4 linked regions of the Rhinolophus ferrumequinum genome follow. The protein of the gene in region 3 interacts with the protein of the main gene of each other region in a pairwise test. Links are inferred from orthologs where the notes say so. Each region holds a gene or a part of one and is shown on either strand. Other genes may lie near its edges. The genes, in order: CTSB, WDR74, RGS2 and LRFN1.

Evidence for each region.
Region 1: the proteins of RGS2 (region 3) and CTSB interact in a two-hybrid assay, tested with the Homo sapiens proteins (2 studies listed by BioGRID and IntAct). The link is inferred for Rhinolophus ferrumequinum from reciprocal best matches to the Homo sapiens genes RGS2 and CTSB.
Region 2: the proteins of RGS2 (region 3) and WDR74 interact in a two-hybrid assay, tested with the Homo sapiens proteins (2 studies listed by BioGRID and IntAct). The link is inferred for Rhinolophus ferrumequinum from reciprocal best matches to the Homo sapiens genes RGS2 and WDR74.
Region 4: the proteins of RGS2 (region 3) and LRFN1 interact in a two-hybrid assay, tested with the Homo sapiens proteins (2 studies listed by BioGRID and IntAct). The link is inferred for Rhinolophus ferrumequinum from reciprocal best matches to the Homo sapiens genes RGS2 and LRFN1.

Annotation. Positions count from the first base shown.
Region 1 is NC_046301.1:31,907,033-31,914,593, reverse strand, and holds the start of CTSB (cathepsin B), read left to right. Parts: upstream 1-4,559; 5' UTR 4,560-4,710; intron 4,711-7,561. UniProt on the Homo sapiens protein: Thiol protease which is believed to participate in intracellular degradation and turnover of proteins. Cleaves matrix extracellular phosphoglycoprotein MEPE. Involved in the solubilization of cross-linked TG/thyroglobulin in the thyroid follicle lumen.
Region 2 is NC_046294.1:8,014,856-8,022,168, forward strand, and holds the start of WDR74 (WD repeat-containing protein 74), read left to right. Parts: upstream 1-4,300; 5' UTR 4,301-4,366; coding exon of another isoform or gene 4,367-4,454; coding exon 4,455-4,518; intron 4,519-4,599; coding exon 4,600-4,706; intron 4,707-4,785; coding exon 4,786-4,907; intron 4,908-6,416; coding exon 6,417-6,492; intron 6,493-6,630; coding exon 6,631-6,777; intron 6,778-6,929; coding exon 6,930-7,031; intron 7,032-7,295; coding exon 7,296-7,313. UniProt on the Homo sapiens protein: Regulatory protein of the MTREX-exosome complex involved in the synthesis of the 60S ribosomal subunit. Participates in an early cleavage of the pre-rRNA processing pathway in cooperation with NVL.
Region 3 is NC_046310.1:5,165,074-5,172,339, forward strand, and holds the start of RGS2 (regulator of G-protein signaling 2), read right to left. Parts: upstream 3,001-7,266; 5' UTR 2,957-3,000; coding exon 2,841-2,956; intron 1,834-2,840; coding exon 1,732-1,833; intron 1,624-1,731; coding exon 1,562-1,623; intron 1,000-1,561; coding exon 833-999; intron 553-832; coding exon 358-552; 3' UTR 1-357. UniProt on the Homo sapiens protein: Regulates G protein-coupled receptor signaling cascades. Inhibits signal transduction by increasing the GTPase activity of G protein alpha subunits, thereby driving them into their inactive GDP-bound form.
Region 4 is NC_046298.1:38,500,420-38,508,283, reverse strand, and holds the start of LRFN1 (leucine-rich repeat and fibronectin type III domain-containing protein 1), read left to right. Parts: upstream 1-4,860; 5' UTR 4,861-5,063; intron 5,064-5,602; exon of another isoform or gene 5,603-5,747; intron 5,748-7,293; 5' UTR 7,294-7,326; intron 7,327-7,864. UniProt on the Homo sapiens protein: Promotes neurite outgrowth in hippocampal neurons. Involved in the regulation and maintenance of excitatory synapses. Induces the clustering of excitatory postsynaptic proteins, including DLG4, DLGAP1, GRIA1 and GRIN1.

The sequences.
Region 1 (7,561 bases), on a different chromosome or scaffold from region 3:
CCTTTAACTTCCAGTACCCAGAAGAGCCCCTGTCCCGTAACAGATGATCCATTATGGGAACTGACTGGCCTTTGCTCCTTCATTGTTTTCTGCTCGCTACGCTTTTAAGACACGTATGGTCAGGAATGGTCCCAGTCAGCTTTTTCCCTGGGGTTTCCAAATAGCCTGCCTCTTCTGGGAAAGTCCAAAGCAGCCCTCTCTTCGAGGACAGTGTTATGGGATGAATGGCGTCTCCCTCCAAAATTCATGTTTCAAAGCCCTAACCCCTAGTACCTCAGAATGTGACTGTATTTGGAGTTAGGGCCTTTAAGTAGGTGATTATGTTAGATGAGGCTGTTAGGGTGGGCCCTAATGCAACTGGACGGGTGTCTTTGTAAGAAAAGAGACACCAGGATTAAAACACAAAAAGAGACACCAGGATTAAAACACAAAAAGAGACACCAGGAAGGAGCAGCTGGATGGCTCAGTTGGTTAGAGCGTGAGCTGTCAACAGCAAGGTTGCGGGTTCAATTCCCGGAAGGGGGGAGTGGGCTGCACCCCCTGCAACTAAAGATTGAAAATGGCGCCTGGACTTGGAGCTGAGCTGCTCCCTTTACAACTAGATTGAAGGACAATGACTTGGAGCTGATGGGCCCTGGAGAAACACACTGTTCCCCAATATTCCCCAATAAAATAAAATTAAAAGACAAAAAAGAGACACCAGGGATGTGTGCGCACAGAAAAAAAGAAGAAAGAAGGATATTTGAGCTGATCTTTGAAGAAAACGTTTTATGGAGTGGTTTTTAATTTACATTTTGCTTTTGTTTTGTGTGCTTCTAAGATCAGAGTTTTTACTCCAACATGATATTATGAAAATTTTCAAATATCACAAAGCTTGGGCAGCCCAATGACTCAATTGGTTAGAGTGCGAGCTCCAAACAACAGGGTTGCCTGTTCGATCTCCATATGGGCCAGAGAGCTGAGCCCTCCACAACTAGATTGAAGACAACAAGCTGCCCCTGAGCTTCCGGAGGGGCAGCCAGATGGCTCAGTTGGTTAGAGTGCGAGCTCTTAACACAAGGTTGCTGGTTCAATTCCTGCATGGGATGGTGGGCTGCAGCCCTTGCAACTAAGATTAAAAATGGCGACTGGACTTGGAGCTGAGCTGCACCTTCCACAGCTGGATTGAAGGACAACGACTTGGAGCTGATGGGCCCTGGAGAAACACACACTATTCCCCAATAAAAAAAATTTTTTAAAAATAAGTAAATAAATAAAATGTATATCAAAAAGCTGAAAGAATTTTCCAGTGAATATTAAAATGAATACTGGTATGCCCCCCACCTAGATTGTACCATTAATATTTTACTGTATTTGCTTTATTGCACATCTATTGCATCTATATGTCCCTCCCTCGCTTCCTCCATCCATCCATCCATCCATCAACTTAATGCATTTCAAAGTAAATTGCAGATATCTGTAACTTCCCTCTCAATATCCATATCATTAACCAGAATCCAGTACACTTGACCCTTGAACAACACAAGGGTTAGGGGTGCTGTCTCTTCACACAGTTGAAAATCCAAGCATAATTTTGACTACTCGTAACACATAGGTTGTATATTATTTGTATTACATACTGTTTTCTTAGAACAAACGAGAGAAAAGAAAATGTTGTTAAGAAAATCATAAGGAAGAGAAATTACATCAACAGTATTTATTTTAAAAAATCCACCTGTAAGTGATCCACAGAGTTCAAACCTGCATTGTTCATGAGTCAACTGTATTTGCCTACAGTGGTTTCTTTTGATGTTATATATATATATATATATATATATATATATACACACACAATGATGAAATCCACAAATCTGAAGTGTGCATTTGCAAAGCGTTGACAAAGATAAACACCTTGTAACTCAAACTCTTAGCAAATATAGAGCGTAATCCTCACTCCAGAAGGAACTCAAGCCTCTTTTCAGTCAATTCCACCCTCACATCCCCAGAGGCAACTATTACTGTGTTTCCCCGAAAATAAGATCAGGTCTTGTACCGTATTTCCCCGAAAATAAAACCGGGCCTTATAGTAATTTTTGCTCCGAAAGATGCATTAGGGCATATTTTCAGGGGATGTCTTATTTTTTCATGTACAACAATCTACATTTATTCAGATATAGTCATGTCATCTTCTTGAACATCATCGTAACGTACTAAATGTGTCCATCTGGCTGACAATCTTAACTGGGGATTATCTTCAAGGTAGGTCTTATTTTCGGGCAAACATGGTATTATAATTTTTGTTCCACTATACATCAGTTGTGCTTGTTCTAGAACTTCATTTAAATGGAATCGTATAGCATACATTCTGTTGCGTACAGTTTCTTTCACTCAGCATAATGTTTTTGAGACTCAACTTGTGGTGGTGTGTAGTGGTAATCTCATCCCTTTTTGTGTTTGGTAAGTATTTTTGAATATACCATGACTTGTTGATCCACCCTCCTGCAAATGGACACATGGTCTGTTTCCAGTTTGGGGCTATTATGAATAAAGCCACTGTGAACATTCTTGTACAAGTCTTTTTCTGGTCATCTATTTTCATTTCTGTTGAGTAAATACAAAAAAGTAGAATTTCAGGGTCATAGGGTAAGGGCACATTTAGTATTTAAAAAAAAAAAAAACTGCCAGAGTATTTCTTAAAACAAAGTAGCTGTACCCTTTCACTTTCCCACCTACGGTACCCGCCCGTTCTCAGGAATTTTTTTCGCTTTCCCATTCCGGAATCCCAAGATACAAACTGTTTTCTGTTCTCCACGATGAATCGTTTCCACAAAGTGATGGCCGATACTACCAACCACCTGGGTTCAAGGAGCCGATTTTCCCAATTTCCCCGACCAACTTTTCTCAGGATTTGGGAACGGAAAAGTGAAAAAATTTCTCAAGAACAGGCGGGAATTCCCGCCCGGGAACCCAACCACTAATAATATACAAGAATCACCATTGCTCCACATTCTTGCCAACATTTGGTGTGGTCAGTGTTTTTAATAAGTCCAAACCTTTCTATATTTCTGGCTCTGGGCGTGAGAAAACAGGAGGGCCTTTGTCATCACTAAGCGTGTACCTGTGGGTACTATGGTTGGTGCACACTGTACAGAAGCTAATGTACATTTATTCCTCATAACAACCTGTTTAGAGCCTGGGAGAAGTGAAGTAACTGTGGAACTAGGATTCAAACCCACGTTCTTCTGGCTCCATTTTCTTTTCACCTTGGCCTGAACTAGTGCAATAAGAGTGTGTTGAGAAGGGAGATTCCTGTGCAAGGGAGTGTCATCAAACTTTTGCCACTGGTCAGAGACCTCCAGGAAGCTCAGAAGATTTGGGTTCATGGTAGAATCTGGTGTTTCTGGCCCTATAGGTTTGGATGAATAGGGGACCGGGAATGGGGGGCCGGGGGGAGAAAAGAAATTGTCCAAACACTTGCTTCCTTCTACTTGCTAGAAGTTCAGGAGATCAATCTCCCAGACTTATAAAAGGGAGATTCTCCCTTGAAGGGAGAATGAGCAGCCCAAGGAGACATCCAAAAGGTTTTATCTGCTGCCCTAAGCTTCCTAGGGATGCTGGTTACAACTCAAATTCAATTACCATTCTGCTTGGCTTAAATAATATCCCCCAAATGGGCCGTCTGACTGAGTGGGAGCCGAGTCTGTCCCCCAGGGAGCATCAAGATTTAAAGGGCTGTGTCATTGCTGGGGTTTGGGATACACATGAAGAAGAAATGGAATGACTAAATAGAGCCCTATTTAATCCTCACAGCTGTATGAGGTCAATATAATTCATCTTCATTAGCTAGATGAAGAATCTGAAGAAGAGAGGGTTTACGTCACCTATCCAAAGTCACACAGTTCTATGTAGCAGATTCCAATCTCTGTCCACTTCCTAATGGAAAAGATTGATGCAGGGGCTGTAGGATCACAGGGTTAGAGTTGGATACTGAGAGATCTTCACTCTTAAGGTCCTTCTCTATAGAAATCCTGATGCAGCTCCAGCAATTAGTACTTAGTGGTATTAATTACCGTTTTCATTATTACATAGTTGGAGTATCTATCTCATAGGCACGTTCTCAGAATATTAATGCTAAAAGAGCCTTTGAACGCTCTTCTGGGAGTCCTGCTCTCTTGATACCCCCAACTCTGGCGATGTTTCCTGAATGAATGAAATACGGGTCAGTTATCCCCTCCCCCAAGCAGGGATCCATCCGGCTTTGCTCTGCATTCAGGCTGAGGCGTCCCCAGGGGAGTTTTTCTAGGCTGGGTGGAGACCCTTAGGGCCACCTTCAGCTCCCTACCGCTCCCCACAGGCCTCAATCCGGAGGGTTAGAGGCCGGTGGGGCTCAGAGCCCCTTTTCCGGGGCCAGCGCACCCACCCCCAACGGGATCTCCAGGAGCTGACAAAGGCGGGAGGCGCGCAGGGGTGACGGCGCTGGAGTGGAGTGGGGGTGCTGCCAGCAGGAGGAGCAGGGGGTGGGGGTAGGGGTGCCGGGCTCGCCGGGGAGTCGGAGGTGGGGCCGCGTGTTCGCAGCGATCACGTGATGAGTCAGCCGGGCTCGGGGCGTGGCCGAGCGCGGTAAATAGGAGTGGGGGCGACCCCGGGAAGCGACGGCGGCGGCTCTGGCTCCGGCACTGGCACCGAAGGCATCCCCCAGCAGCAGGCCCAGACTCTCGGCGGCCGAACTCGGTGAGTGCAGGCGGGTGGCGGGCCGGGCGACCGCGCAGCACCACCGCGGCGGAAGTGACCTTGGTTGGGGTGATGAGACTGGGGCCCTGTGCGCCCCCCCGCCAGGCCCAGATGCTGTCCAGCGGCGTCCCCGGGCGCCGGCGGGATAAGGCGACCCTCCGGTTGTTACAGCCGGGCCAGCAGGGGTGGCAGCCGCGCACTCCGAAAAGTCGCCGTGGTGAAAAAAGCGAAAACAACCCTCAAGCGGGCAGCCGGGCTCCCAACCCCCACTCCGGCCGGGAAGCTTGCGCCTGCAAGTCCTCACTCGAGGGCTGTGTTCATGCCCAGGGCAGGGTCAGCTTGACCCCACGATACGCCTGTCCCCAGGGCCTGCCTGGTAGGTCGCCCAGGAGGAACGGGGGAGTTTTCGGGGAAGGTCCGAGGGAGGAGCCTGCAAGGAATGGCTTGGTCCTGATCCCAGTGACTTTTGGCCAGTATCTGGCTCCTCGGCCCCTTCTCGGCTTCTGGGCCTCAGTTTCCGCAAAAAAAAAACACAAAAAAAACTGCTGAGATAATAGTATCTACATGCATCTATTTTAGGTGTTTTCTTATTCTAAAGGGTTTGCCTGGGCAGCTTTGTGCACACAATTACGCACAATTCTAGGGACCCCAGAAGACAGAAACCAGAAAACAGGAACCTTGAACTGGGTGGAATAGGGTGGAACCCACATGAAGAGTTAAATCCAAAGATGAGAGGAGAAACTAAGCAGAGAGGGGCAGAAACTAAGCAGAGAGGGGCGTGTGAGGCCGTATAGGGCCCAATCCTCCTCGCTGGGGTGGGGGAGAAGAAGAAGAATGCCCTCCCTACTCCTTGACTGCTGTGGAGAAGAGACAGTGCGGAGGCCCAGGGAGGTGTGGGACAGGGGAAAGCAGGTGGGAGTATCTGGGCATCACCTCTTCCCTCCTGTGGGAGGAGCATTTAGGGAGCACTATAGAGTAACTGAGTTTGAGAGGCTCAGCTGGCAGGCAGTCCAGGTAAATCTGAGGTGGATTTGCCTTCTTAGTGGGCCTAGGTCAACCCCTTCTCTGCTGACAGACAAAGGGAGAAAAGCCCAGGCTCCATAAGTCTCTACCTGAGCAGGTAGAAACCCTCACCCAGTGGGAGGGGAGGTGGTAGGTTCAAAGGGAGGCCTAGCACCTTTTGTTACCTTGGGAAACCTGATCCCCAAGTGCCTCCACCCCAGGTGAATACCGCTGAGATGCATTCATCTAAATGAATCTATCAGCGCAGATTGAGAAGGTGAAAGGTTTAGAAGGGTGTCTGACTTGGCCAAGCCTCCTTCCCTTTCTTAACATAATGTCCTTTCCTTCATGGAGAATTGTTTCCTCTTGGCACTAGACCCAGGGACCTTGAGCTTCAGAAAGGGACTGGGCTATCCCCACCCTGTGTGTCTTTCCCAAAGAGACAGGTTGAAGGTGTTCTGAAGAAAGGTTCTGCTGAAACCTTTTTAGGGCATTTGTCCCAGAGCTGGGGCACTGCCCAGTGGAAAGGTGCAGATGCCTCATCCAGGGGCTTCACAGACCCAGTGAGCGGAACACAGGCCAGACACAGCCAGGCTCCAGTAACTCCCTTGAGGTTGGGTCAGAACAACCCTGTTTTCTAACTGGTCAGACGGTGAGAGTGGAAGCGTTTTTGGCTCCAGGAAAAACCTGCCCATGTGCCACTGGTTCAGCAACTTGCACCAAGATCCTTCCTCTAGACTGGTTCTTCCCCCCATTGCTATACTAGAGTGATGGAGTAGGAAGTTGCCCACATGTAAGGGATGAGAGAGATTTTGTGTTACTATTGGCAGCTGGACTGAGAAGTGAAGGGAGAGCACAGAGGAGCCTTGAAATGTTTGTCGGGTGATTTTCTTAAATGAGTGGTGGTTGTGTAGACTATCCCTGCCCTTGGGAGAGAAGGACTGAAATATTTCGGGGTGAGGACTCATAAGGTCTGCCGCTTATTTTTGATAATTTGGTATAAACAAAGTATCAAAAATATGGGAGGTTGAGCTATATGAAATGGGAGTTTGTGAACGTCATGAAAGATGGAAATCACTCGTTTTCATAGGGTCCAACCTCAGGTGCAGAGGAATGGTAGGGATTGACAATAAGCTGCTGGATGAGTTGAGGCACATACAGGTGTGGATTGTACTCACCGGATACTGGGAGGCAGCAGTCTACGCCTGGTCCCATATCTTCATCTCTCTCTTGTCTCATCCTCTATACAAACTCCATGAGCTGCCTAAGAAAGGGAGGGAAATCCTGAGTCCTTCCATGTCTGTTACTCAGACTCCACCCTAGTTTGGATAGGGCAGGGGATGTAGGGATCAAACACCATTACATATTTAGACTTAACCATTCCAGTTTGTAACCTCAGGCCTCATCCGCATTACCTCTCCACAGCACCAGGGGCCTCCATGTCTCAGGCTTGCGTAGGGTTCGCAGGGTGAGTGCATTCCCTCTTGGTCACAGCTCCCCTTTGCAGGGAGCAGGTTTTTCTTTGCTCTGCAAGTCCATTACCACTACTGTGCCTGCTTGGAGTCTTCCTGATGGACGTTGTAGTTCCTTTCTGCTCTTCTCTGTATAATTCTCCTGCACTCTTTTTTGTAGTTTTAATACTTTGTATCAATCCGTGAGCAGTGTTACTAAAATTGGTAACCTTTAATTATGTTGCGTGTATCCTTTTCCGGGGGTGTTTATGAGTTATTTATGTTGATACATACAGATCTAGTTAATTCATCTTAAATACAGTGTATTTGTCTACTGAGGGACAGTTAGGTTGGTTTTGCTTTTTCACTGTTGCTCACAGCACTGCAGTAAGTATCTT
Region 2 (7,313 bases), on a different chromosome or scaffold from region 3:
CTTAAGAATCCCACCAGAAATTGTATGCAAACCTGTGTGAGACAAATATGTGTTTATTTGGGGAAAGTTTTCAACAGATTCTCAAAAGGGTTGGGGGATGCAACAAAAATTACAAACCTCTTCAAGTTGACTAGCCATTTCTTCGACGTGCTTTATCTTGTGTTGGTTTTTAAGTTTATAGCATCGTCCTCAAGAACACAAAAAAATAGGAAGTCAAAAATTGTTCAATCGATTTATAAATATGGAAGAAAGTACCATTAAAAATAAAAAGTGTTTAAAGAGTTAACAGAAGAGTGTAAAATGGGGATAGTTGCTATAAACCTTTGAATACTACTTGTTGATTGATATGAATTTCATTAAAATAAAACATTAAATTACAAAAATTAAATGTACCCATGGAAAGAACATTCTTGCCTTGGCCTCGCTTTGCCTGTCACCAAAGCCAGTGTTTCTCTGAACTCTTCCACTTATCTCCATCTCTGCTACCACAGCCCCCTTTGTCTCCCACCTGGAGGATCACAGGAGCCTTCTCCCAGTTTTCCCCAGTAGACTATAAAGGTCATGAAGTCAAGGTCCATGTCTCATTTTTTTTTTGTGGCCATAGATAACTGCTCAATAAGCATAAACAAATGCATTTCCAAGTTCTCGTGGAGCCCTCATATCAGCCTCCCGCACCCACGCAGGAAGAGGCAGAGGTAACAGTAGAACAAGAGTGAAGGAGCCAATCCCCACTTGCCTTTGCTTCAAAGCAGGAACAGTCAACTGCTGACTGCACAGACCTACCAAGAGATGGGGTGCTTGGCTGTAGCCTGGGCAGGACTGAAGCCAAGCCAGGGGGCTGTGGCTTGCACTAGGTTGGGTCTTGCAGAATTTGGAGAAGGTTGGGATTGAAAGAAACTGAATTTTGCTTTTGCGCTTGTATTAGTTTTGTATTGCTGTTATAACAAATTACCACAAACTCAGTGGCTTAAACAAAACAAATTGATCTTATGCTTCTGGAGGTCAGAAGTCCAAAACGAGTCTCAACGGGCTAAAATCAAGCTGTGGCAGCAGGGCTGCCTTCCTTTCTGGAGGCTCTACGGGAGAATCATTTACTTGCCTTTTCCAGCTTCCAGAGGTCATCTTATGTGACCCCCTTCCATCTTCAAAGCCAGCAAAGGGTCATCAAATTCTTCTCATGCTTCATCATTCTGACACCAAGTCTGCTGCCTCCTTCTGTCCCGTATAAGGACCTTTGCAATGACACCAGAGGGGCCCACCAAATCCAGGATAATCTCTTCTTCTCAAAATCCTTAATTTAATCATATCTGCAAAGTACCTTTTGTCATGTAAGATAACATATTTAGAGGCTCTGAGAATTAGGACATAGGTGTCTTTGTGGGGGGCATTATTCTGGTAACCACATCCCCCAATTCAGCTCTTCCCTGGAGGCTCTGGTTTGCTTATGGGAAACTGTGGAAACTGCTTCTGTTTATTAACATCAGGGACACAGTGCTGAGAACCTTGACCTTGTTCTATTATGTCACAGATTATCAGTAAACCTTGCTAGTTGAAAGCATATCGGTGAGAATGAAGCGACCTAACTCTTGCCTTAAGGATCTAACTTTGACGCAGAGACACGGCCTTCAGCCAGCTATAGAGCTTCAATTAAGGAGGTTTCCAACAGAATATTCCACATTTATGTTAATATAGTTTCCAAGGAAACAGGACCTCAAGTCCCTTACAGCCAGGGCCTGATATCCCTTTCATACAGCCAGGCTTTGCTTTGAGTCGATAAATGAACTGCTCATTTAAATTTTCCCTACACTGGGCTTCACCATCTCTTTCCCACCGCGGGACGCCGAGTTTAGGAATCAGGAACCTCCGAAGAAACGTCTTTCTCAGGGTATCTTTTCCCCTCTGTGAAGGGTCCACGGTGGGTGATGGATGGTACAAACGGCAAGGTAGAAGCGAGTTGGGGGTGAATGTGACAAGTCTGGGAGGAGGCACAAAAGGGAGCCAGAAGCCTCAGGATGCGAGGGGAATGGAATCCTAAAGGCCAACCTTCACTGAGTGTCCTGCTCTAACAACCGCCCCATTTAACAGGGGGCAGGAGCCTACGCAACATGCCTCAATTCATCAAATCAGAAACTGGCTAGCAGGAATCCCAATGTAGAAATTTGGATTCCAAAACCTGTGCCCCGGAACCGCGGACTCTCCAAATGCCGTGTTTCCCGGAAAATAAGACCTAGCTGGTCGATCTGCTCTAATGCATCTTTTGAAGCAAAATTTAATATAAGACCGGGTATTGTATTGCATTATATTATATATTAATTTTTGCTCCAAAAGACACATTAGAACTGATTGTTCGGCTAGGTCTTATATTTGGGGTAACACGGTGTGTTCCGGCGCCGGCGCCGCCACCCGCCCCACCCTCAACTGACTAACGGAGCGGTCGCCCCCATGGCGTGCCTAAAAGCCTTCAGAGACATGCCACAGTCTGGGAGAAAGAAATCAAGCGGGCATTGAAACGTGGGCATTGACTTGTATGTGGACCAATCCCAAGAATGTATAAAAGCAGAGGGGCGGGTTCATGCAAAACACGTCGAACAGTGAGCTGACAGACGAAGCGGTAAAGGACCTTATTTAAGGTCTGTTTCAAAAAAGTTACTATAATTATGAATAAAAATAATAATAAATTAAGTTTAAGAAAGGTTGTGTGTTGGAAAAAAACTAATAGTTATGCCGTTAAAGTCACCACAATTGTAAAAGCTACAGAAAGGATAAGGTAGGCTGGGAGGTGAAAAACAAAGGCATCGCTTCTCGGCCTTTTGGCTAAGATCAAGTGTAGTATCTGTTCTTATCAGTTTAATATCTGATACGTCCTCTATCCGAGGACAATATATTAAATGGATTTTTGGAATTAGGAGATGGAATAGGAGCTTGCTCCGTCCACTCCACGCATCGACCTGGTATTGCAGTACTTCCAGGAACGGTGCACCCCTTTTAAGGGGAACTTATCTCGGTTTGAAAATAAGATAATGCTCGGTTTTACGAATAGTTGCTATTGCAGTTCAATTTAAATGAGGTTTTAGAAACTTCAGTTAGTTTAACCACGGGTTTTTTTTTGTTGTTTTTATATTGTAAAGTGGGTGTGTGTGTGCGCGCGCGCGGGGCGGGGTTTGGAGGAAAGCACTAAATTGGTGTTTCCCAGCCGATACAATATTTTGCCTTTTAGCTCTTCTGATGCATTCTTAAAAACAGGAAAATTGACTACGATAATTTTTTTTTTTTTTTTAGATCTGTATTGGAATAGCAGCTTCGTTTCCTCCTTATTTATTAGAAACGCTTTACTGGTTTTTAGATTTTTTTATCCTGTGTACGGGAGAGGTCTTTCTTAAGGGTTCAGTTTGGCTTCATATTAAGTGGCAGACTGTTAGTTTAACCTCATCAGCGTTAAACCCCAGCTGTGTCCCCGACTTGTATTACAATGAGGAAAGACCGGCACAACAGAGGAATGGTTGGATGTCTTAAAAAAAAGTTACAGGATTTTAAGGAAAGATGGAGTTCAGGTTTAATTTAGTTTAAATTGTGTTCTGATAGGTTCAATAAAAAGGGCTGTGTGCAAAGAGATCAACATCAGGCCTGCACTCCGAAGGGTGCTCTTTCTTTGGTAATACAAAAATAAGTGTGGAATGTTATGCTCAGAACTCTATTGCCAGGCTTGCAGCTGCTCTGAAAACATAGCTGCTTCTCCGTGGAGGACTTAGGTCTGCCAGGCAAGAGTGGGATACTTTATTCTTACTGATATAATTTCAAACAGCAAAGTTTCTGATAGTCTCTGATTTCATAAGAACAAAATTTCTCAGAAAACAGTCAAAGAAGGAAGCCGTTGACATTTTAATTATGACATTTTAAAGTTGCAGCTTTTGTTTCTGTTACCTGCAGATTTTTACTTTCAGTTTGTGTTCATTTTTACCATCACCAAACCTCAATGTGAAGAAATAAAAACGACACCCCTACTTCCACCTTTCCAAAACAGATACCTGTTTTAAAGATTCTCGGTTTTATTTTCTCCGTCTTTCTTCGTTTTGTGCCTTTTATACTCTAGGTTGAAGCCATGCGCCACAACAGTGATTTGAATCGATTCTGAAGTGGTCTCTTGTCTTGTACAGAAAACAAAACATGATGCTTTGCAGCAGGGAGACGTACTAAGGCTGGCTTGACCCGGCATCTCGGTCTACCCAGGATGCGTTCCACTCCAAGTGTAAAATGGTCCAGTTAAGTCTTCAGATCCCCACAATTATCTCCAGAAATCGTTATCGTAAAGAAAAACAAACTGGAGCAGGCGAGTGATCGCTACTCTCCTCGCTCTTTAAACTCCCAGAATCAGCGTTGGTCCGGATCCACCTTTGCGCGCGCGGGTGACGCAGACGCTGCGCCGGAAGTGCGGCTGTCGGCTGCCAGACTTCGGTATGGCGGCTGCGGGGGCTCGCTGGAACCATGTGTGGATCGGCACGGAGACTGGGATCCTGAAAGGTGGGTGGCAGGAGCGGGCGCCGGGAAGTGGGTAGGTCTCCAGCTGGCGACCCCGGTGCGACTGACTCCCGCGTCCCGTAGGGGTGAACCTTCAACGCAAACAGGCGGCGAATTTCACGGCGGCGGGACAACCGCGACGCGAGGAGGCGGTCAGCACCCTGTGCTGGGGCGCTGGAGGTGAGACACAGGTGAGCGGCCGCTTGCTGGGACGGAGCTGGGGTACGGTAGCCTCGCTGTCCTTACCATTCTGCACTCCTCTACCTGCAGATCCTGGTGGGCTGTGCCGACTGGACAGTGAGGCACTTCAGCACCGAGGAGGGCAGATTTCAGGGCCAGAGGCACTGCCCCGGAGGGGAGGGCACGTTCCGAGGCCTTGCCCAGGTCGACGGGTAAGACCGAGTCCCTCGCTGAGCCCCTCAACAGAGAGCGATGAGGCTTCCGCAGGACCGCCGAATAATGATCAGCCCTTAGATGACACAGGTCTGGGCTGGGTGACGGACCTGTGTCCTGCCTTCTTTCGTTCATTCCTATAACAAGCATTTATTGGACACCTACTGAGTTTCAGGCATTGGGCGAAATGCAAGGGCTGCAGGTACACCAGACACACACAGTACCTACTTTCATCCTCCAGGGATTTTCTCGTTTCCATAATTTTTTGAGTGACCCTGAGCAAGTCATTTAATAGTTAAGAGGATGTTTTTAAACGGGGCTAACAACCACCAACAAGGTGATGAAGGTCCCAAAGTAAAGGATAGGAAAGTGGTGTCTTGGGTTAGGTTACCGGCCCAGCTTTCTTCCAAAGATGGAGAGAGGAGGTTGTGAACAGGCTGTGTGTGTTTGGTAGTAATAATTCTGACAGGCGAGGTCTAGGAGGCTCTGTGTGGGTGAGATGTTTGAAGTGAACCTTGAAGGATTGGTAGAATTTGGGCAGGTGGAGAAAGGGGTAAGGGCATTCTGGGAAGAGGCTACTGCCTTGGCAGAGGCCAAGGATTGATGTCTCACTACAGGGTACCTTTCAGGGGCGATCAGTAGTATTTGGGGGTTGAAGCTGAGGAAGCGTTTTAATACAAGATAGGCAGGGTAGGTTGGGTTTCATTGTAAAGGGCTTTAAATGCCAGGCTGAGAGATTTGTACATTTGTAGGTGGTGGGGGTTACTGGTTTTTGAGAGGACAGTGCTGTGGTCAGAGCTGTGAGCCTGTAAGAGTGTGGAGGATAAATTGGAGAGGAAGCAGTTCAGAGACTGTTGCCATAATCCAGGGAAGTGATACAGACCCTGAACCAAGGTGGGAGGGTGAGCAAATGTGAGAAGGACCATAGGTTCGGGCTGTACAGCTCCTGGGGAGAGACTTGCTTGGGCTTTGTGGGAGGGGTACTTTGAGGGAGAGATCGACATTTAGCGTCTGGAACCCAGAACATGGAACTCAAAAGAAGCTGGTGTCTGACTTTGGCCAAACCCTAAATCCAAACCAGTCCCATTTCAGTCCTTTCAGAGTTATTGATTCTGACTCCCTGGTGTCTGACTCAAGAGTCAGAAAGACCTGTGGGGCCGGGTGACCCCAGATGGAGCTGTGGAATACAAAGGCATTCTCTGCTTTGGAGTATCACAGACTTGATTTCCAGCTCTGGTTCTGACATTCACAGCTCAGTGGGCAAATCTTTTAATTGCTCAGAGCTTGTTTCCTCACTTATAAAACTGGTAAAGCCTCCCTCTGTTGAGGAAATTAAACAACGGGAAGCTGGAAGCTGCCAAGCCCTGTCCAGACCAGAGTTGCCTAGAGGCTTCCTTAGGAACAGGCCTGTAGGAATTTAGTTTAGTTAATTTGGGGGTGGGTTGAAGGGAGCCTAGAGGATACTTTCACTTTTTTTTTTTTTAACTAAGTCTATCTTCCCTCTGCAGCACCCTCATCACATGTGTGGATTCTGGGATTCTTCGAGTCTGGGGTGACAATGACAAGGAGACATCCTCCGGCCCAGTGAGGCTCCCCTGCCCTGATCCCTGTGGTTGGGGAAGGAGGGGGCCAGGGTGGGAGCTGAATGAAAGCTTTGGGGGAAGAGGATTAAGGACTCTGGAACTGACTCTCATCCCTCATCTCATCTCCCATTCTTTTCAGCTCCTGGAACTGAGGGTGGGCCCTGGGGTGTGTAGGATGCGCCAAGACCCAGTGCACCCCCACGTAGTTGCCACGGGTGGGAAAGAGAATGCTTTGAAGGTGTGGGACCTGCAGGGGTCTGAGGAGCCTGTGTTCAGAGCCAAGAATGTGAGTGATGGGTGGGGAGGGGCTGGGTCTGAGGTCCAGGGAACTGAGGCCATTATGAGTCAGAGACCATGGCTTTAGGGGTGATGGAGGGCCGAAGGAAGGGACACATTGAGCACCCCACAACCCTGCCCCCCATCTACCCACCCCACCAGGTACGGAATGACTGGCTTGACCTGCGAGTTCCCATCTGGGACCAGGACATACAGTTCCTCCCTGAGTCACAGAAGCTTGTCACCTGTACAGGGTACCATCAGGTGAGAGACCACCCCATCCCTACCTCCTGGCTTAACCTCCCAACCTGGAGGATCGCTTCCCTCATCCCTGTCCATTTATGCTCCTAACGGCTCTCCCCCAACCCCCTAACACTCAGAAGAGGGATATATTTCAAATGAGAAAGTTTCTCTAAGAGTGGGTTATAAACAGCAAAGCAGTATATGAAGGGGGTGTTGAAGACGTGGGGAAGCCATAGGGGGGTATGTGGAGTGAGGGTACCCTGTGATACCGCAGTCTTCCTCCAGGTCCGTGTCTATGATCCA
Region 3 (7,266 bases):
ATGTACATCCAGCTGCTAAGGCCACATAATCCCAGACCTACTGATGGTAAAAATGCTTTTGGATCGAGAGTATTACACCGTCTGTTTCAGTCTCACATCCCTGCTTTTACGGTGGGAGACACACCATGCTCAGACCACGTTCTCTCTGTGTGCCTGCAGTCATGGAGGCCATCCCGACACATGCTGCTTCTGGACGGCGACGGGCTTCCCTGCTCACTACCCAACTTCGAATCAACAGTTCTGAGTGATGTTTCCCCAGCACCCAGGCTGAACTCAAGGGCAGTCTTTTGGGCAGGTCAGCCTTTCTCCCTTAGGAAAAAATGAAATGTCCTCCACGTTGGGGGTCCTGTGTGCATCTCATGTAGCGTGTGGCTCCGTGGGAATCTGTGGCTTTTTACACAAGTCCTGGTAGAATTCCGACTCCAAGAAACGGGGATAAGAGTTGTTCTCCATCAGGCTGTATACCCTTTTCTGGGCGGTCGTAAAGCAGCCACTTGTAGCCTCTTGTATATTTTGAGCAATTAGAGTTTTGGTTTGAAAGTCTATGTTTATCTGAAATAAAACACAAAAAGTGGTTTATTCTATATTCAGAGTCAGAGATTTAAGACTGTGTATTTAATATTTGCCAACAAAAACTAAAAACTATAATGCATGATTAGCTTCACCAGCCAAGTCATTGAAGAAACTTAATCAACTTAACTGAAAGCTAAGGTAAGAGAAAAAAACACTCCCCCCACTCCCAAGCCCTTTTAGTTTGACTTCAAGTCTTTTGTTTCGCTTTGGAGCTAACAATGTTCAAAACATGCTGAAAATAAGAACTTATTTTTCTTACCTCTTTTGGAGCTTCTTTTTCTATGAAGTCAGTATATATTTTCCTGGCCTTCGAGGACAGCTTTTGGGGTGATTTCGTTTTTTTGAAGTCTTCACAAGCCAGCCAGAATTCAATATTTTCTTCACAGAATTCAGATTTTAAAAAAGCCCTGAATGCAGCAAGACCATCTGAAGGGGGAGAGAGGGAGAAGAAAACATTCAGATTGTGAATGGAATGACCAAATAATCCCTTACATGTTTTCCTATAACTCCCACTCCCTTGCCTCTGTGTTTTCTTATTTAGAGATGATAGTAAATTCCTCGATATCACTCAAACCTGTAATCCTCAGAATTGAGCTCTTTAAAGACTAAGATGCCAGTAGACAAAATGCTTCAGCTGGCACACTGCTACAAAGATATAAATACTTAACTTTGCCATCAGTGGAAATATTCATAGGGGAGCCCTAAATTCTCTGGGAGCTAAGCCTCTTGAAAACCTTGTATGCAATGGAAAAGTTGACTCAATGTTAACCAAGAGCAACCACCACTCTAATTTTTTTTAGGTTAAGTTTTCTTTTCCCCCCTGAACAAAGCATGCACTTCCATGGGTAGACACTGGGGCATAAAGGCGAGTGTCACGATGACTGTCAAGTCAAATGGCATCTGGCAAGCTGCTCTTGTGCAGTGTGCACAGAACCTTTCCAGACTCCAGTGATGCTTGAAAGGGATTAAATTCAAGAAGGTAACTTACATTTACTGGCCAGCAGCTCATCGAAAGCCTCTGACCACAGCTGGGCTTCCTCAGGAGAAGGCCTGCAAGAGAAAGGGTGCACATCAGCTTACTCTTGGAGATCTTCAGAGTTCCCTTTTCCGCTCAACAGCTAGCTCGTCAAATTTGCAAGAACAAGATTTTCAACTTACTTGATGAAGGTTTGCTGTTTGCTTTTCTTGCCGTTTTTGGGCTTTCCAGGAGAGGAGGAATGTTGCAAGAAATAGCTCAAACGGGTCTTCCAATCTTTTAATCTAAAAAGAAAAGGGGGGGAAAAAAAGATTCACTAAGTGGCAACATTTGACATTGCTACAGCAGCTGATGGCATTTTTACCAAAGTCGCCCAGTAAATACAGACAAAACCAAATAAGACAAAACAAGAACTCTTCAAGTCACTCTGACACATTTAACATTTAATCGCTACACTTATGTATTGAACACAATTAGTTTCACCCATTCATCTGCACATAACTACTAGGTTTTATAACTAAGGGAAGGATTACCTGAAATGACTAGCATAGTGTAATGAATTTAGTTTGCATATAGTTCAAAAGGCAGATGCTATTTCTAGCCCGCAAAAGGCAGCAGTTTTTCTGCAACGTTCATTACAATCCGAAGGCATTTCACACTTGGTGAAACGGACAGTGGAGCTGCCTGGAGCCAGTCCGTGCTCACTTCCCTTCAGCCCTTGGAGCTGAGGTTCTGGACCAGCCAGAAGCTGTGTACCAGGAGGGCTGTGTGTGATGGAACCACCCACCTCCTGACTACAACATTCATGTAAGCGCATGATCAATTAAATCATAACATTAAAAGTAAAACGTGGATTTAAAAGGCATATCCGAACGAGCAAAAAAAAATCCCTCCAACCCTGTAGAGCTGTCTGTGGAAACTGATCAGAAGTGAAAATGCAGCGTATGAATGATGGGGACGCCCTTCAGCCCGGGATTCTCTGCTGTCAACTTAAATGCAGGGGGACAAAAACCCAACCGCGATTTTCTCAGCGCATCTACCGCCGCCTCTAGATCAAGAATTTTCTTCAGCTCCTAAACTCTACCCGACATTCCTTCACTCGCGGAAACTACCGACCACACAGATTTAATCTTACTTAGCAAATGAAGCTTTTCTACATTTTTCCCCCTGCAGAGGCGCAGGCTACATTGCTTCCTATTGTTTAAGACGAGTGCCAAAGCCCCGCGTTTGCAGCAAACCCAGAGAGCTAGGTCTGCAAGGGTGGCTGGGGAGAGAAGAACGCCGTACTCACAGCGTCCGCTTCATTTTTTCTCGCTTCTCCTCGCTTTTGGGTCCGCTGCTGGAGCTCTTGTCCATAGATCCGCAGTCGTGCTGGACAGCCAGGAACATGGCACTTTGCATTATCATCCAGCCTCCGGTGCAGCCGCTGGTTGCAGCTGGAGAGGCGCTGCGGTATTTATAGGACGAAGAGGATGGGGGCGTGGCCACACGACGCCGGGCCCGCCCCCCGAGGGCGCCTATTGGGCGGCTGCGGATGGGCCCGGGGGCGGGTCTGCAGCGGCCCTGCAGCGGCCACGGTCCCCGCAGAAAGGTCTGGAAGCCAGGGCGCTGCTGACGTCTGCAGCCCCGGCTTGTGGCGCATTGGGGCGGAATGTGGCGGCCGGCCTGGGCGGTGTGAGGCTGGCAGAGACCATTGGCTTTGAGCAGTCGCCGGCGACCTTGGCCAGGCGTGGAGGCCGGGCGGGGGTGTGGGCCCGCTCCAATCCTGCCATGCTTGCTTGGGCTGACCCCCAAAGGCATCTTGGAACCCTGTTGGAATGCACATTAGGAAAGGAACAGGAGAAAGTGACTGGATTAGACGACAGTGCTCTACTAGCTAGGGGTGCCTTCGTGATCACCACTAGATACGTGACAGTTCGTGCGACTGTATGCTGACTCCTCAGGAATCCTTGGCTGCCTCTCTTTCCAGAACAGAAATCACCCATGTGATGATGAGGTACAGGGAGACACCATGACCTCGGCAGCTGTAATGCACCAGAATCATTCTCGTTTAAGAGGGCAAAGATGCTGGGGTTCCTTGTCACTCATTTGTGGCTGTCTTACGATTTGCTAGAACACCGAAGAACTGGCGAGAGAGCAGGACGAAGAGGAGAGGCTAACAGTGTGCTTGAATACATTTAATTTGTTATTTCTTCAGAAGCCATGTCTGCTGTAGCAGGCTTTGAGTGATTGGACTGGTAAGGCCAAAGAGAGAACCTCACGTACAAAATGCTTGGATTTCAGATTTTCATTAGAATCGAACACGGGGATTTTCAAGTGCATCCCCCCTCAAGCATCTAAGTAGGCAGTAAGCTTAACCGCAAGGTATTGACGAGGCTGCAAATATTCTCCCTACTTTGCCTTAGAACTGTAAAAAGAAAATTGGAACTGGTTTAACAGATTCTTACAGTGAACTGCCCATAGTTGGAGCTCCAAGTTTGAAATGGAGGATAAGATCTGCAATTATTACTGAAGATGAAAGCCATGTACCTTATTTTGAAAAGAAAAATCATTTAGATTTCAGTAATAAATACTTTAAAACATGTTTGTGAAATGTAAAATTGTCATTTTTGTCATGCATATGCTCTTCATCTCTAGAAGAACACTGCTGAATATTTCCTACATCTAGTTTTACTTCGATGTTTCAATGTTTATTAAATATGGGTAATGTGCATACACTTGCTTTTTCTTGACAATAAACGCCTCAATGTATTTTTCACTTGGAACATTGAACAGTATAACTCTAATAATGGAAAGGCCAGGTGTTCTGACAAAGAAGCGGTTAGGAGAGAGAGCTGGGCTGTGTCACGGGCGCCAATTAGAATCTCAGCTTAGATAGTACATGCTAAGTAACCATTGGGACAATCCCATCACAGCCCCTTGAGCCCCAGTTTCTTATTTGTACCAAGAGTAACATATCTTTCTTGCCAACCTCATTATATATCATGTGGCCCTTATGTGAAAAGCCTTTGCAAGTTCTAAAATACTATACAAACGCTTGTTATTAATTCGCCTATGTAAGAAAAAAGAAGTATCTGGAAGCATAGCTACTCAAGGTAGAAAAATCATTAAAGGATTAACTCAAAGAGTTAATTAGTTTATAAATGTATAAGTACTATTAAAAGAGAAAGATAATGTCACAAAGAATTGTAGTTTCCAGCTCATAGATACTTAGTAAATGCTCTCTGGATAATAAGCAATACGGAAAATAAGCGAACTGTTTGACATTTAAACTTTTCAGAAATCTCCAAGTCAGAAAATTCAGTCATCTCAATATACTCACAAATGTAAATATACGTATATGAGTATATGTATACATGGAAGCCACTAGTTTAAATATATTCTAGATGGTTCAGTAAGTGTTTAATATAATGATAATGATTTGGTTTTTCATAAACCATTTCTGATTGACAACTGGTGTTATGTGGCAGAAAATTAATTTTTTTTCCTGAAAATTATGAGGTTGATTGATAAATTTGCATGTAATTTAACATTTCTTTGTCTATGGGCAATTTTAAGAGTTAAGCCAGTCTCCTCTACAGACTAAGAAACATTTTGGTGAAAAGATTGCCATGCTACTGTGTTTTTTAAAGACAAGCAGACCTATATTTAAAGCGAAAACTACAGTGTTTGATGACTTCCCTTTGTTTTTTTTTTTGTTGCAACTGGCTTTTAGGTAAAGGGGATTGCTCAATATCAAAATGACACATATTTTCCATTCTGTGGTGAAGAAAGAAACAATACAATAGGTTGTGAATATTACATAGCAAAACCACAGCTTGAGAGCGGCTTGGTAAACTGACTATATGTTCTCTATGTTGAATCTGTCATGCCCTCTACTGGAGAGGCTCTCTGAACACGTTAGTGATGGATGGAGGTTCTCAGGATAGTTCTTGAACTTTTTGCATTAAAAAAAATAATAATAAAAAAATAAGTTGCAGAAGAAGGCAAATAAAGTAAGACAAGTTTCTGGTCATGCCAAAGGGAGAATATGAAAAGCTAAAGTCTCCCCTGCTGTGATTCTTCCCCTCCCCCTGCATGCTAGCTCTTCTTAATCAAAAATCAGTATTATTAGCTAAAACTGTTTCATACTTACGCTTTAGAAATTTAGAAAACAAGATATATGCTTCATAAAAACCCCACAAAAGGATCATTCTGTGTATTTCTCTGTGCTTTGCTTGTTTTGGTCAGTGATATCTTCGTTCCTAAATTTGTAAGAGCTGTAAACCTATTGCTTACTTCCTAAATCTTAAATTGGTAGTTAGTTTTCAAACAGGAAAAGCAAACAAACAAACAAAAAACCAGGAAATTAAATACCACGTGGCAAAGGGGCTGATGAGTAATTGGAAAAAATGAAGACTGTAAATACCCTAATTGTTGACCACGTTTGAAGAAGTATAACACTTGTCTTGTTTCTCTGTTTTTCTTTTCTCCTTTGCCTTCTTCGTCTTATTGAATTTTAGTTGGTGAAATAGACTTTTAACAGAATGAATGTATACACGATTCTGTATGCCACTCTTCATCCGTGATAGGATCTGAAATTTAAAAATCATAATTACTATCTTTCTTAGAATGTAATTGGCATCCCCAGAAGCTGATAAGAGAAAAAAGGTGAGTGCTTTTGTCAGGAATGAATCAGAGTTTCAACCTAATACCTGACACGTATGATAGAGGAGTTAATAATTTTCCCAGTGTTTGTGTGGTTTATTCCTGGGAGAGCACATCTGTGGTTCTGCCTTAAATTCATCCATAGTGTGGAGTAGGTCACCCTTCAAATGCAGGCAGGGCCACTTCAAGGTCAGAGTCCTGACCTTACTGAAGCATCTGGGTTCTGTTTGAAAACCGACAGCAGGCGCATCACAACTTTTTTGTTTTTCCCCAAATACAAATACTAACATATATTGAAACTCCTGTAATAGGTTTCTGCAGTTACAGGACCATAAGGGTGCAATCTACGCTGGGGAGACTGTGCCCAGCATATGCCAGTGGCTGCTCACCTGCGACAGTAGACTACACAGAATCTCAGGGGTGAGCAGGTAATTAGAAATGCTTTCTTATAAAATAAGTTACCTGGAGGCACATTGCAGGTATAAAACGCAGAAGAGAAGCAAGGAATTTCTTCTGCCTGGGATTTTAGGTTCTGTGCACAGAATTTTGTCAAATCATTACGGTGCCAAATGTCCTGTTGACTCCCTTTTTGGGAATTTTGGGATATTGGCTTCATGATATACAAGATTTCCAAAGGTCTATACATGTATATCACTCACTGAGAGTCTGTCGTTTTTTTTTTTTCTTTTAAGTTTGAAGAAGGGCTGCTTTTCTTCTAGTAAATAAGGAATCTCTTTGCACTGGTATTTCCAGTTTACCTACCATTCCTATGTAGAGAGTACTAATCCATTTTAGACATTGATTTTCAAAGGTCTTTGATCCACGGACTACTTCATAAGAACCTAAAGCCTTGTGGATGTTCTCTCCCAGACACATTTTTTTTTTTTAATTTTAAACAAACACCAATTCCCAAATCTTAACAAAACTGGGGAAAGGACAATGCTTTCAAGAAGACACTAGCAGGCCTTGACATAATTGTCGCATTGTAAGTAGTCAAGTCTTAGGTGCTCAGCTAACGGCTTGGCTCGAGACCCCATACCATTCTCAACCTCCAAAGACAGTCGTTTTGC
Region 4 (7,864 bases), on a different chromosome or scaffold from region 3:
AAACAATGGCACTGTGACCTTGGGCCTGGGCTGCCTCTCCCCCAGCCCTGGCATTCCTGGGGGAGGGTCCACAGCCCAGCTCTAACCCTCCCCCAGCCCTCCCAGCTGAAACACAGCATCCTCTCACCACCCCACTCTGCCCATCCCCAATCAGGACAAGCCCTTGCATGAGGGATTCAGGATAGAATCATTCTACATCGGGAATAGAGAAATTCCCCCGGGGCGGGGGCGGGGGGGGGGTTGAGTTGAGCTCCTCTCTGCTGACACCTGTCCTAGTGTCCCCACCATCTCTCTGCCAGGCATATCTCCAACCCCGCGCCCCTCACCCACCCGTCGTAGCCTGAGCCCTGATGGCTAGAGATGGAAGAGGAGGATGGGCTGGGGATAGGAGAGGTCATTCAATTAACAGGTCAAGCAATTCCTCACCTGCAAGGGTCAGAGAGGTAAAAGGACTTGTCCAAGGTCATGCACTCACATGATCAAATTAATAATAATAGCTAACTCTCTGATTGAGGGCTTCCTACGTGCCAGGTACTTCTATAAGCACTTTACAGGTATTAACTCATTTAATACCCCATGAAGAAGATGCCATTATAATCCCCAATTTACAGATGAAGAAACTGAGGCCCAGAAGCTAAAAATGGTTCCCTGAAGTCCCACAGCTAGGGTCTGTACAGTTACAACTTTAACCCAAGGCTATCCTGTGGCCAATGGCCACTCCCTCTCTTAGGCATGGGATTTAGGGAACCATCTCCTCCTCTTCCTCTCCCTCCTCTCCCTCCTCCATTTCTCCTCCTGCCCAATTGTTGAACTTCTGTCTGCATCCAGGCTTATGGTTGCAAACAATCCAATTAGAAAGAGGCATGTACAAGGATTTACCCAACCAGGAGAAGGGAGTTTGGAAAGCAGGGACCAATCAGAGAGAGTGACTCTGAGGGGCAGCCCAATACACAGTAGGTTTGGCTAGAGGGATTATGGAGGGACCAATCAGCGAAGCCAGAACAGAATACATTATCCAATGAAGAGTCAGCACAATGGGGTGTGGCTTTGGATTTGAGGCCACTCCTTAGAGGGGTGGTACAAACTAGGGACCACCTCCTCTCTTTCCCCCAACCTCCTCTCTGGGCTGGAACAGATCCAAGCTCCCTAATTTTTTTTTTTTTTTTTTCCTATGGAGGGCGAAGCTCACAGTGGCCCATGCGGGGATCTAACCTGCAAGCTTGGTGTTATCAGCATTAGGCTCTAACTAACTGAGCTAACCGGCCACCCCAAAGACCCCTAATTTTTGAATCCCAGCCCTTCGCTTTCCCTGGGGCACTTCTCCCTGCTAACCTAGAATGTAAGCAGGGCTTAAATTGGAGAGGTGGAGACTGGATTTTAGGGGGAGCTGAGAATGAAGGACTCAGAGTAGGCATGACGGGCCAGCCATTCCGTAGGCTGAAAACTATATGCTTATGGAGTGGAGCCTAAGATAGAGGAGTGGGGCTGGGGCTGAGGAGTGGGGCTGAGACTTGCCCCTGGGGGCAGAGGCTGAGGGAGTCTGAACAACTATTATATACTCTAGGGTGGTGTCTAAGGGGAGGTGCTCAGGCTTGGGGGTGGGTCCTACACTTGGGCTTTGCTTAAGTCAGATAAAGCTGGGGTTTTGCTTTAGGGCAGAGCTTTAGAGACAGAGGGTGGGACCTAAGTTGTGGAAGAATGAGGGTGGTTTGGGGTAGGAATTAGGCCCCTAGGAAAACAATCACATTATAGACTTACGGCTGTTGTCCTCTTTTTCAGGCCAACTCACATTTCCCTAGCTGCTGGGGTGTGCCCTTTCCCTTTTAGGGACCCTAGACTGGGAGATGGTGTTTATTCCTGGGTATGGCCTCTGCAGGGAGTCTGCAGCAGACCTAGCTCTAGGTCCTCTCCCAAGAAGCATTCAAGAACACATGTTTACGGGTGCTAATTGGCCTTCTGGACACTGGAGAAGATTGATGCCTCTGCCACTGCCCTCAGGAGGCTTACATTTCAATGACTAGACAATAAGCAATAAACAAATAAGTAAACAAATAAGCAAACAAGATCATTATTAAGAATGACAAATGCTATGAAGGAAATAAAATGAGGTGATATGCTAGAAGTGATGGGACCTGTTTGGGCCATTTTTTTGTTGCCTCTTTAGTCTAGAAGAGTCCTCCAGCTTTTTTTTTTTTTTTACTCCCAACATTTATTATGAAAAATTTCAAACATGCAGCAAAGTTGAAATAATTTTCCAGTGAACACCCATCTACCCACCATCTACATACAATCATTCACATTTTACTGCACTTGCTTTATCACATATCCATCCAACTATCCATCCATCAACTTATTTTTTTTATGTATTTGCAAGTAATTTGCAGACATCAGGACCATTGGTGGGGGTGGGGGTGTCAATTGGAGAATGGGAAAGGAAGGCTTCTCTGAAGAGGTTACATTTGAATTAAGACTTGTATGAAAAGAAGGAATCAGCCATGGAAGCGGAAAAACTGCCAAGGCCCAGGGGCTGGGATGAGCTGGAACAGAAAAGTCATCGAGGCCAGAAGACAAGAGTGACCAGGGATTAGGCCAAGAGCTCGCAGGGCCAGATATGCTCTGTGAGTGAGGCCGCCTCTGCCTGGGTGCAGGCTCTTTGTTTCTCCATCTCTGTATATCTCTGCCTCTCTTATTATTATCTTTCTCTTATTATCTTTCTCCTCATCCTCTCCTTTTCCACTCTGGTCCTTCCCAGGCCTGACCTCACCCTCTTTCCCCTTCACCTCCACTTTCCCCTCTATTCTATTCTGCCACTTACGATCTGTGATCTTAAACAAGTAACTAAAGCTTTCTGTGGCTCAATTTGCCTCATCTGTAAAATGGGGATAGTGATGACACCTCCTCATCTGGCTGCTGTGAAGAGTGAATGGAGTTATCTACGTGAAGCTGTAGAACCTTTTCTGACACAAACAATGCTGGACATGTGTCCACTTTTGCTGTTATTGTTCTCCCACTTCTGTTTTCCTAGCTCTGGACCTCCATGCTCTGGCAGGGAACACCAGGAACCAGGGTGGGAGGTGGTGGTAACAGTGGTGGTAATGGTGGAATCTGGAGACTGGGGGTGGGGGGATTGTGAGTGTCCCCGGAGGGTATCTAATGGTTGTGAGTGGGGTCAAGTTTCACTTAGAGGGAGGCTGTGCAGAGATACCCTTGATCTGAGGGACAGGGCAGTCTTCGTGTGATGACAGCAAGGGAGAATTTAGGGAAGGGGTTTGGGGGAGGACCTTGATACAGTGGGATCCAAAATTGAAAGGGCTTAGGCATCCAGGGATCTGGGGGACTGCCATAAGACAGATTTTGAAGTGAGGCTTTACTGGGTTTGGGGGCCCAGTGAATATCTCAGAAAGAGGTGAAGAGTGGCCTGGGATACTCAGTGGGATTTTTTTTTTTATTTTGTTTTTTGTTTTATTTAGTTTTATTTTTGTTTTAAATATAGATTGTTGTACATGAAAAAATACTCAGTGGGATTTGAGAGAGGGGTAGGGGGTCATTGGGTAGGAGTTGGGCAAAGGCATCTGAACAAGGAAGGAACAAGGAATCCTGGACACCACCCAATTCACAGGGAAGGGGGGAGGGTCTACAGGGTCCAAGAGAGAATAGGAACAGGGAGGAAGCAGGAGCCTCACAACGGTAGGACTAGTGGGGAGGATGGGAAAGAATCTGGGGCAAATCTGGGAGTTTGGAAACCAAGAGGTTCCTTTGAGGGGAGGATGTCTGGGTTTAATGGGGGTAATGGGAAAGTTTAGGGTCTCCCCATGGGGACAAGAGACATATTTGGGACTCTTAGAATTTAGACATGGTCACAGGTCCCCAATGGGAGTCAGGGAATTGTTTGAGGTCTTAGAGGGTGGAAGAAAGAAGTGGGAAATGGTCTGTGGTCCTGGGTGGCTGTAGAACATGGTCTGGGTCCCCAAAAGAAGTAAGGCATAATCTGGGTCTCCCCGGGTGTTGACATATGGTCTGGATCATCTCTGGGATGTTGGGGTATGGTCTGGGGTCCGTGACGGATTGGGTGTGGTCTGGGGCCCACCCGCATGTTGGTGTATGATTTAGTGTCCCTGATAGGGGTTCTCTGGATTCCCTTGGATGTTGAGATATATAGTATGGGGTCCCTCTGGATTTGAGGGCATGTCTGGTGTTCCTGATAGGGTGTGGGGCAGAGTCTGAGGTCACCAAGGAGAGTAAGACGTGGTTTGTGGTCCTGGGTGGCTGTAGAACATGTTCTGGGTCCTCAAAGGAGGTAAGGCATGGTCTGAGGTCCCTCTGGGTATTGGGACATGATCCGCGGTCTCTATTGGAAGATCCCGGGTCCCTATGCTAGTCGGGGCGTGGTCTGGGGGTCTCTTGGGAAGACTGCGAGGCTGGAGGTGGGGCTGGGGAGAGGTCGGGGGCGGGCCCGCGGCTCCGCAGTGGAAGGGGGTCTGCGACGGCCCCGGGGCGGGGGTCTGGGGTGTGCAGCCGCCGCGCAGCCCGCCCGCCCCCTCCGGTTGGAGCCCCCTCCCCCTTGCGGCGGTGGTGGCGGCGGGCTCCGGCGGCAGGCGGCGCGGAGGGCGGAGCTCGGCAGCGGCTCCGGAGGGAGGGCGGGAGGCGGGAGGGAGGCGGCCCCGCGGCACCGCGCCCCCTCCCCTGGCCCTCCCCCACCATGGCGCGGAGCGAGGCGGCGGCGGCGGGGCCGGGCCCGGGGCCCCCCCGGGGCTGGGTGAGCGCGGCCCGCAGCGGCCCGGGAGGAGGCGGGCGGGGGTGCCGGTGTGAGCGCGGGTGTGAGCGCGCGAGCGTGTGAGTGTGTGTCCGCGGCGCTGCGGCGGGCCCGGCGTGCGCTCGCGCGGCCCTGTGTGTGCCCGGCGCCGGCGTGTGCGGCGCCTGCTTGTGTGGCCATCCGGGTGTGTGCCGAGGTGCTGGGTCCAGCCGTGCCTGTGTCCCCCAGAGTGGCTGCCCCTCCGAGTGGCTGCCCCTTCGACTGTGTGTCTGGGGGGCTGTCGCGTGCCCATCGGAGGGGCTGTGTGCAGGTGTGTGTGCGTGGGTTGTGTGCCCAGGTGTGGGTCCCCCCCAGCCAGTGTGTGAGCGCGGCTAGCTGCGTGGGGGGTTTGTGTCCCGGCTGGATGTCCATCTGAGGGTCTGTGTAGCCGGGTGTGCCTGCTTGGGTGTCCATTTGTGTGTGTGTGCGCGCGCGCGCGTGTGTGTCTGCGGGTTGTATGCTCCGAGGGTGTGTGTCTGTGTGACCACGTCAGGTTCCCGGCCGGGGGCTGAGGCTCAGCGCCTTGTGTGTCCAGGCCTCTGTGTGGGTTTGGCGGAGGGGAGTTTGCTGTTCCCTCGGTCCATGTTAACTGGATGGGGGGCCCCTCAGCGGTCCTCGGGGGAGACGGCCATGTCTTCCCCTTCCCGGTGGCTGGGTGGGGGGGATGGGCAGCCGGTAGGTGGACAGATGGAGGGATGAGAGGCCTAGGGTTGGACAGATGGGCCCGAGGGGAGGCACGCAGACCCGGCCTTTCCCCACCCACCCCACTCCAATGTCCCCACCGGCCAGATCTCTGCAATGGGGCCAGAGTTGCCTGCATCTAGATGGTCAGGCTGGGGGACCTTTGGGCTGCTGGTGGGAGGATCGCCTTGGAGTAGTGCTGTAGGACTCAGCCCCCCAACCCTCTGAGATTCGACCTGCTGAACTCTGACCTCTCGCCCTGGCTTGTGCTCTGGTGAGGGGGCCTATGGTAAAAGGAGGGATGTTAGGATTTCTTTGGCCAGCTATGTAGGTGGGGCCAGGGTGCCTCCGGGCTGGGAGGGTATGTCCATGCCTGCGTGTGAGTGTGAATCTGTGCCTATCTGTTGACTATGTCTGTGGTTCAATATTTTGTGTGCATTTGTAAGTGTGCAAATCCCTTACAGGGCTGTTGTGTGAGCATGTGTCTGTTATGAGTGAACATCTCAGAGTGTCTGTGCAAAGGTGGATTTTTTTGTACCTGTGTGTTTGAGTGTATCAGTCTTGTAAAGAAAGTATCTGTATACGCTTGTGGTTCTGTGTATGTGTGTGAAGTGTGTATCAGCTAGTGTGTGCATTTGTGCATCTGTTGGTGTCGGAATGTATCAGCTTTGTGATTGTGCATCATGAGGATATGTGAAGTTGTCTGAGTGTGTTTGGGCATTTAAGAGTATGCACCTGTGTATCTTTGATTGTGAGAGTGTGTTATATGTGTGTGTCCCTGTGTGTTGGTGTGTGCAAGGGTATCTCTGTTATAGGTGCATATACCTGGTTGTCTGCAAGGGGGCACATGTGTTTGTTGTGTGTGTGCATCTATGTGTGTGAATGTGCAAGGAAGTCAGTGTTGTACATGTATGGATGTATGCTGGTGTGTCAACCTTGAGGGTATGTGTCTGTCTATGTTGTGAGTCCATTTATGCATCAGTGTTGATCTCTTGGGAGTGGTGTTATATGTGTTCAAAAACATATATGCAGGGTTGTATGCACAGACGTGCCTGTGTCCCCAGAACAAGGCTGACCTTGCTTCTGGGCCCAGTGAGATTGGGGCCCATTTGGCGTGACCTATAGTATGCCGAGACCAGTCTGGGGTCCATGGACACAAGTGTGTCCACATCCCAGGCGTAGAGTCAGTGGAGGGTGGGGGGTACAGAGCTCATGCTGGTGTGTCCATGGAAATCCAGATGTAGAGACTTGGGTTGGAAGTCCACGTGTGTTTTGGCGTGTCCACACATGTTGGTGTGATAGTGGTGTGATGGCAAGCTTGGGAACCTCTGGTCCTTCCCCAGCCCTCAGATCTTTGAAGTTGGGGCACTGGAATGTGAACTCTGGAAGGAGGAGGCTGGGAGCCTAGAATCCTGGATATGAAGGAGAAGGAAGCTGGGGTGGGGTCCAATTCTTGGGTCTTGAGAAAGGAGGGGACTGAGACCTGGACTCTTGAGTCTGAGGGAGGGGGGAGGAGGGTCCCAGACTCTAGGGTCTTGAGGGAGGAGGGGGCTGGAGTGACTAGTCTCTTGAGACACTAGAGGACGAAGGGCTAACGTCCTGGACTTGTGGCTTTTGGAGGGTGAACAGTCCTGAGGCCCAGACTCCTCAGTTTCCAGAGATGACTTCTTGGGTCCATCTGAGATTATGCAGAGCCTCCAGCAGGAGGGCTTAAAAGAGGGAACACACCAGGGACTGCCTTGGCTGAGATGGTCTCCGAGGTAGGTCTCCAGAGAGGAGCCAGAGGATGCTAACAAAACTGTCGTTTTGTTACTTTGCAGGTACTGGCCCAGGCCCTGACTCCCTGAAGAGAGGTGAGTGGGAAACCTCCAGCTGGGGATAGAGACATGGAGTGGTCGGGCTGGTTCTGAGCCCACTGGAAGCCGGGAGCCCTGCCTTGTATGGATTTCAGTGTAGGGTATGGCAGTGTCCTGAGGGGCCAGGTGTCCTACAGGCTGGGGGTGGTGACAAAGTCATGAGCAGCATGTTTGGGTAAGGGCTCATAGCAGAGCCAGGACATGGGGAGGCAGGTGGCAGTGTCAGGCCTGGAGGCATCCTCTCTCAGGATGGGCAGGTAGTTGGGAAAGGGGAGTTTCCTCGGGATATCAGTAAAGGGTCCAAGTGAATTTTATAACATGAAATGATTCTTGCATTTGGAGAGTGGCATGGATGTGGTTTACCATTTTGTGTGTGTATGTGCATGTATGTGGGAAGTCCAGCCTGCTGAGTCCAGCCTCTGGCTGAGAGAGAGCCAGAGAAAAACATAATGACGATGATAATAACGAAAATAATAATAATAATCGCAGCTGACATTTATGTAGTGTTTACTCTGTCAGGAACTATTCTAATCAT